Danio rerio: one gene and its partner. The protein of the gene in region 2 interacts with the protein of the main gene of each other region in a biochemical or structural test. Links are inferred from orthologs where the notes say so. Each region holds a gene or a part of one and is shown on either strand. Other genes may lie near its edges.

Region 1 (3,935 bases), about 14 Mb from region 2:
TTTTCATTGGTCTGTTTTTGTATCGTAGGCTTTATTTTTCTTGTCATTTTTTCTATTTGCACTTCAGCTCAAATCTTGATTGCACTAGTTTATTCTCATGGTTGCTTGACACAGTGTTCAGAATTGCAAAATTAGGTTGTTCTGTTTGTATTGAGTTAGCGTAGGACGGCTCCAGCTTTCTCAGTTGATAATTAACTTGTAGATTTGTGTTCTTTTTAGATGGACTAAATTAATACATAATGCGGTTTATTTTATTATTTAAAAATTCTGCCTTTAATATAAATGTTTAGATTTTGGGATCTTACTCTTAAAATTAAAAATAAATAATCAATAAATAAACAGCAAGTAACACAGTGAATTAAATAGGACATTAAGTCCACTGCCAAAAAAAGTTCCATTCCTATTACTGTTTACTATTTTGTGTATTTAATTCGAGATTTACTTCCAAGTGTGACCAAAAGGTGAGTGCCTTATTTTATTTTGTGTATCTTTTCAGCTGTATATGGTTGAGAGAGGAAGCTCAGTGAGGTTTATGCTGTTAATTTTCATCTTTGATTTTTGCATTAGGTGAGCTAGTACTCTAAACTTAGCTAGCTGCTTTCTGTTTGTTGTTTTAAGCTATACTCACTCAGTTTGACATCTAGTTTCTGTTAAAGTACCTATATTTCTATCAAATAAATTATACATTTCTAAACCTTGTGCTGACTCTTCACTCTTATCTTTTTTATTAGTACTAATTCAATATTATTCACCAAATTTTAGGCTTTTTTAAATTTTTTTTACACATTTTAGACAAGAAGGTCGTAACACATTGGATCAACTTAAAAAAATTAACTTAAAAAACAACAACTTTTTATTTTAGGTATAGCATGTTAATGTAAAGTTTATCTAATATTACACCTTGTACAGTGGTGAAAGACAGAAATTGTATTATAATTGTATATTAGTTTTTATTATTTAAAATGTTATGTATATATTTTACATTAACAATCTTGTTGTTTAATTGATTGCTTTATTTAGATATATACTTTCTCTGCTGATCCTCATTGTTTTTTATCAGTGCAATTTACTATGAATATATGCAAATGCAAAGTAAAACCAAAGTTGATAATCAAATAAAAAAAAACAACAACTCTCTGATAAATCATGTGATCATAAACAGTAATGATGGGTTCAAACAAACCGATCGACAAATCAAACACTTTTTGACCTGGTCCATGTCCTTGTTAGGACAATGATTGACTGATGAGTGACGGCCGGTGATGTTTGTTGTACTGTCATGTTTAAAAGATTGAAAACCTCTCAAAGTCCCTGCCTGTCAATGCTCCGACATGGAGGTACACAAAGCAGTTCTTTTACTTGGTCTCTTTCTTTTTACAGGTAAGGATGCTTAAAATGGTTTAAATTTATCTCATATTTGTGATTAAAAAATACTAATTTAGCATTTGTTTATCTTTATATAATTAACATGATCATAATATCTCCAGGTTTTCTCAGGAGTCACAGTCAAAGCACAGGTACTGTAGGAAGTTTAGTTCATGTTTGACACAAAAATCTTTGGAGATCAAAGGTTATATCTTTATATTTTAGACTTATTCTGAATTAAGCTTGCATTTGTGACTTACTTTTTCTATATTTCAACAGATGTTCTGGAAGCATATATTAAAACTGATGGGGCCTGGATAGTGAAATTGCCTAAATCTCAATATACTGTCAATACAGTGGAGGAATGTGCCGTCAAGTGTAACAAAGAGGTTTCCTTTACATGCAGGTGCATTATTAAAACCTTCAAAATATACTGTTTAGCACTAAAGCAGTCTAATGTGTGATCATCCATGCTATTCAAATAAAATTTGGGATTTATATGTGCTTGTCAGGTCCTTCTTGTACATCGAAAAAGATCAGGATTGTGTAACATTACCTGCCAACTCAAAAACTGATCAAATACTGAGAAGAATGAGTGCTGCCCTCTACGAGAAAAAGGGTAAGATTTGATCATCTAATCCATTATTTTGTGGTTTTGAAAGTTTGACAGCGAACTCTCTAAGTAATTTAAGCACTCATCACTCTTGTTTGAATTGAGCTTTAAGTGCACTTGGAATTAATAGAGACAGGCTTTTTCTTGTTTTATTTTTTCAAGAGCCTGGGTTAATATATAATCCGCATTTATCAAAGTGTAGTTTGGTCCATGTCAGTAAACAAAGTGAAGAAGACTATCTAAAAATCCATCATCCAATGAGGGATTGCTCATGCATGTATTAGGCACTGACCCGGTTACAAAAAATTGTCCTTAACAAACATTTGTTCTCTGTTCTCTGGTTTTGGTTTAGGAGCCAAATTTTACATATTAAATAATGTTGTGATTCAACTCTGCTACATAAATATTATCACTAAATCAAATATCAACTGTATTAAAATTTGTCACAAATTACCATGTAGCAGTGTAGAAAATGGGCTAGGTTAATGCTTGGCTATCACATGTAAACACAGGTTCAAAATACTGCAGATCTTGGTTCACCTTATGAAACATCAATAGATATAAGAAGCATTTTACAACAGCTTACTTTTTTGCCCAACGTACGCACAGTTAATGGGTCACATTTCATCATTCGCATCTTTTTTACAAGACCAGTTTTTCTGTCACAAACCCTAGCGGACTATGCAGAATGTACAGTAACTACCATTATCCACAGTTCTACTGTATATCGACATCATTAGTAAACAAAGCGTTGTTAAGTATGCTGTAACCAATTGATTGAATTCCTTCATACAGAGTACTTACTGGAATGTGTAAATGGCATTGGCATGGACTACAGAGGGACAAAATCCAAGACAAAATCAGGGAAAACATGTCAGCGATGGGAGGGAACTTTCCCCCATGTACCCAAGTATGCTTCTTTATCAAATTTGTGTTTCAGGATGCTGTAAAAGACAAAATGTTTATCACAGTGAACAGCTAAATAACTTCAGTCATATCTTCCCGCAGCATAACACCAAGAGCTTACCCAAAAGCAGATTTGGAGTCCAACTTTTGTCGAAACCCAGATGGAGATAAGGGGGGTCCCTGGTGCTACACCACAGATCCTGAGAAACGATGGGAGCACTGCAATATCCAAGACTGCACAGGTGCATTCAGCAATTAAACTTGTACATAATGATAAGAAATCATACAGATGGATGGAGAAATCCCATGCAAAATCTCACTGTTGCTTTCATTTAAAATGAGGGAGTAGACTATTTGCTTTATAAACAAATCCTACATCTAACCCCCTGGTAACATCATTACACTGATAACTATATGGTGTGATAAAATAAATTGAGAAGATTTGCTACTTAATCATGCAAATATTTAGAAATGATCTTGTACCTTTAACTAATGGCTCATTTTCACTGAGTGGTTACGGTGCGATACAGTTAAATACAGCACACATTAATTTCCATTTCCACTGTTATAAGTATCAAAATAGTGAAACATAGCATACATTTTGGGACCCTTTCGCAAGAGTACCTTGCACAACAGTATTGTAAAAGGTTGGAGCAATACTCGCAGCTGAATGCTATTGGTTTACAGAGAATCATTACTTGTGCATGCAACAAGAAAAGGGACCAACAACACTGGAAGTGCCATTTTAAAATACACAGCTGAAACATGACATAATAATGATACAATAATGACACACAGCTATGAACAAAGATTAAAGAGCCCCCATTATGCATTATTAAAGGCCATATTTTGGTTTTGGCTGTGTCCAACAACAGTCTGATATGCATGCAAGGTCTAAAACACTTTCATTGTCTTATAATATGCATTTATTTTTACCCAATTATCTCAACGACTCCCAAAGGATTTGTTCAGCGATTTATTTGTTCCCTAAACCCCTCCTCAGCCCAATGCTAATCTGCACTGATGACAGCGTGAGACAGAGAGAAAAACC
Region 2 (3,935 bases):
GGAGTTCATTGGACAGTTCTTGAACCACCACACCAAGACCTTTCAGTTCCTTAAACATGGCAGCCAGATCCTCACATGAAAAGCCACAAATCATTTGCAGATCTGTAAAGGAGAAATATGCAGTTTTATAAGTTTTGGATTTTGCGCACTTTAAATAACTAATATTTTTAACTGAAAACTAAGGTTTACCTTTTGTTTTGTGGCCAGTGTAATCTGTCCTGATTGCAGGGCTGGATCCATTTATGGGATTGTCAAGGGTAATGATATCAGTCATTGCTGCTAGAAAAAAAAGATATACAGATGGCTTAAAGATTATTATAAAAAATGAGCAAACAGAAGACTTCAATTAAAAATGAATGGAAAAGTGAATACAGCTTAAATTATCGGTCTAATTTTGCTATTATTCATTCACTGGCACAGAAGACGATGTATTTGGATTTATGATGTGATGCTTTTTTGTTTGCCTGGTTCATTTTGTTGCACTTAAAAGAAAAGATGTATTGCTAATTTTATGGTCCAACGATTTTTTAGAAAAATATAATTTAATTATTTTTTTATTAAAAAGACACTTATTTAAAAGTTAATATGTAAAGAAAACCGAACCAACATGTGCACAAAAGCTTGCATTCATCATTATTCTTATGGATGCATACTCATGTGTTCTGCATTACACTTACAGTTTTGGCACCCTTTATTCCTCAGGATGGCTTCCAGCGTGGTTCCGAATACAAAGCGCACGTTTTGCAACACCCCCTAAAAATCCACAAGTGGTTAGTACTTCTCATCGCTTCTGTTAACATGCAACAGAGTTCATACAGTGAACAGTCCACTCACCATGAACCTGTCCTTCACCGCGCCTTTACCGATCCTCATTTTGGCCACACCTGGAATCTCCTGAGTCAGGATGGTGTGGATTGAGGCATCGAGCTCCGCCACGTTCACCTCCTCACATCCCACATAGAACTGAACCCTGTCCTCTTGCACGAAAAGAGTGATGTTTTTCCAGTGTCCCACCGCCAAGTCCGCTTCCTCGATGGACACGACCTGCTGCTTGTTCTCGGTGGAAAAAACAATGTCCAGAGTGTTGGCTTTCCCGTTGGAAACGATTTCAAACACGGGTCCAGAACCGTCATTCTTCTCCACAGTCAGCAGGCTTCCCCTCGTGCGTTTGAACTGCTTGAAATTAACCAGCAGCAGAAATCCTTTCTCGGCGTGAATGGAATCGATTAGGTCCCTAAAGGCGCTCTCGGGGACCGGGGGGATCAGGTCGGGGTTCAGGATCTTGTAGGCGGGGCTGTACGGGTCGTCGCCTTTCACCAGGGTCACTCCGTGGTTTTTCCTTGGTACTTGGACCAGCTCGAACAGATCGTAAACACTGTTGTCGTCTCGACTCTCTATCAGGAAGGTTAAATAAATCTCGTTATAATGGATATATCAAACATTAAAGATTACTTTTAAATTGATACGCGGCTCTCTGTGGTACTTGATTCTGATTGGTCAGTTCAGCTGTCAATTATCTGAATCAAATATCGTTGCCCATAGCAACTCAATATAACTGACCGGTCACATACGCTCATATAATGTATCGTTACAAACAAGCATGTGTATTTCAGGTAGGTATATTTGAATACTTTTACTTAAGTAGCAGACTTAAATATATATTTTTATGTGTACTAATTGTGACTAAATTGTTCCGTTTTTAGTTTATAAAAGTATACTGTGAATTATGAGGTGATTAACTACTTTTTATTTATGAAATTAAACTTTATTCCATAAAGTACGTTATTATACTGAAGGCATAGGTAGACTGTTTTCTTTAAATGGATTTTATGGTGACTATATGAAATATACTTGAGGAATTTTTTGAGAAATATAAACATGTTAAACTTAAAATAGACATTCTTATTTTTAGTTTAAATATTTCTTAAAATATTTTTTTCCGATGCTAAAAAGTCACATAATAAACCCACAAGTCCCAAGTATATTTTGGCATAATAACCAAATGGCTAGTAATTTTGTAATATTTAACAGCTAGTTGTTCTTTTAACCACAGGACTGGAGCAGTCCCAATCACTGAACGGCACCAGCTCAAGAATCATCGCTCACCTGCGACTCTCGCGCTCTCGCAGTTCCAAAGCATCAGTAGCAAAAAGATTGCAGTTGACTTCATTTTATCACTTATTCTTTAACCTATCAGAAATCACAAATAAAGGCAAAAGTTATTTAAAAATGAGCCAAACGTACCCTCAAACAGGTCTGATCAATCAAAGGTTTAAAAAAAACTTAAACGCACCTTCCAAGAGTTTAAAACAGCAGCAAATCCAGGGAAAAGTGATATTATTCCTAAGATGCGTCAATCAAAGGTCGTATAAGAAATAATTTTCCTTTTTAGTCGCGATCTACAGCATTCGATGTTGCTTTGCTGTAGTAGTTACAGTGGTCAATCTAACTATTTCCAAAGAGAGCAAAGTGCTATTTAAATAGTTTCATGGCATTCCTGAGCGCGCGTCTCCTCCAATCAGATGCTGAAAGGGAAAAGGGACGAGCTTGCGTTACCTCACAGAGCGTTTGTCTGACTTACACACGAGGGAAAAACGCACAAATTCCAGCCACCACATTCCATAAACATACTTTTGCTTTTTATGACTGCTGCTTCCGTTTAGTTCCGTTTTATTTGCCGCAGTGCTGATTATTTTCGTCGCACTGCTTTTTGTTTGATCATTTAGTAATGTCAGTTATTTCTTGTCACTGAGGATTCGGTCTATTCCGTTCCTTGTCTTAGCTATTGTATTTTCATTTCACTCAATCTATAATAAATGGTTCAAAGTATGTTTTCATGGTCAAGCGTCACTTTTTCTTGTATCTTATTTATTTATTTATTTTTTTAAAGAAAGTGTTTATATTTAAGTACGGTGTATCTGCCATTCACAGCATCTAATGGGATGCCTGTGAAGTAACTGCTGCAGTAAGGCGCGTCTCCGCTAGAGGCCGATCTATGGTTATTTGAGCACCTGGTTCTCTAAAGGATTTCTAATGTTGATTTAATGTTAAATCAGCTAAATGCTATATATATATATATATATATATATATATATATATATATATATATATATATATATATATATATATATATATATATATATATTTTTTTTTTTATTTTATTTTTTTTTTTAGCATTAAAAATAGTTTAACTTCAGCACTTTTTATGTTGTCAGGAGTGTCAAGTTAAAAACTCCCCTAAAACATATATGAAGAGTTAAGATGCAAAAACCTCAAAGTTTCATCTTAAAATTTTCAAAATTATAATTTTTTGAAACTTCTATATTTATATACACTAATTTCATATAAAATGCAATGAAAATAGAATATTAATTGACATAAAAGGAAAATTACTCAACTTTTACATTTGAAAAATGCTAATTTTAGGAGAAAAAAATCAGATGGCGCTTACAGGTGTTTGCATCTGAACTCTTCACATATCCTTATGAAAATTCATTATAGCCAAACCATGTACAAGTACACGTGGTAACCAACTACACTAAGCATAGTTTAACCATTTGGGATGATGGTTATATAAAAGGTAACTAAACAACACTATCAAAAACATGGTATTATCCTAAAAGCTACTACAATGAAAATAGAAATGTAAAAGATATTAATCATACAAACTAAATTTCTAGAATTGTATGTGAAGTAGATATGACAGTACTGCTACACTAGGACTTTTGACATATAGTATAGTCTTCACATCTCACTGTTAAAATGCTGGGTTCCACACAATTCTTTTAAGTTGTCCTAACAAAAATCAATTATGTTAACTTAAATGTTTTATCAAATTTAAGTGAATTGAACGTAAAACAAGTTATTAAAAATAACTCAATAATTGTGTTGATTCAGCTCATTTTAAATAAATAGTTTGAACAAGCATTAAAAAT

What was found.
Region 1: the proteins of thbs1b (region 2) and plg form a complex in vitro, tested with the Homo sapiens proteins (2 studies listed by BioGRID). The link is inferred for Danio rerio from reciprocal best matches to the Homo sapiens genes THBS1 and PLG.

The regions. Positions count from the first base shown.
Region 1 is NC_133195.1:46,004,055-46,007,989, reverse strand, and holds the start of plg (plasminogen precursor), read left to right. Parts: upstream 1-1,326; 5' UTR 1,327-1,331; coding exon 1,332-1,380; intron 1,381-1,487; coding exon 1,488-1,517; intron 1,518-1,644; coding exon 1,645-1,771; intron 1,772-1,877; coding exon 1,878-1,984; intron 1,985-2,773; coding exon 2,774-2,888; intron 2,889-2,986; coding exon 2,987-3,126; intron 3,127-3,935. UniProt on the Homo sapiens protein: Plasmin dissolves the fibrin of blood clots and acts as a proteolytic factor in a variety of other processes including embryonic development, tissue remodeling, tumor invasion, and inflammation. In ovulation, weakens the walls of the Graafian follicle.
Region 2 is NC_133195.1:31,785,998-31,789,932, forward strand, and holds the start of thbs1b (thrombospondin-1), read right to left. Parts: upstream 2,452-3,935; 5' UTR 2,294-2,451; intron 2,191-2,293; 5' UTR 2,171-2,190; coding exon 2,107-2,170; intron 1,395-2,106; coding exon 835-1,394; intron 754-834; coding exon 678-753; intron 280-677; coding exon 190-279; intron 103-189; coding exon 1-102. UniProt on the Homo sapiens protein: Adhesive glycoprotein that mediates cell-to-cell and cell-to-matrix interactions.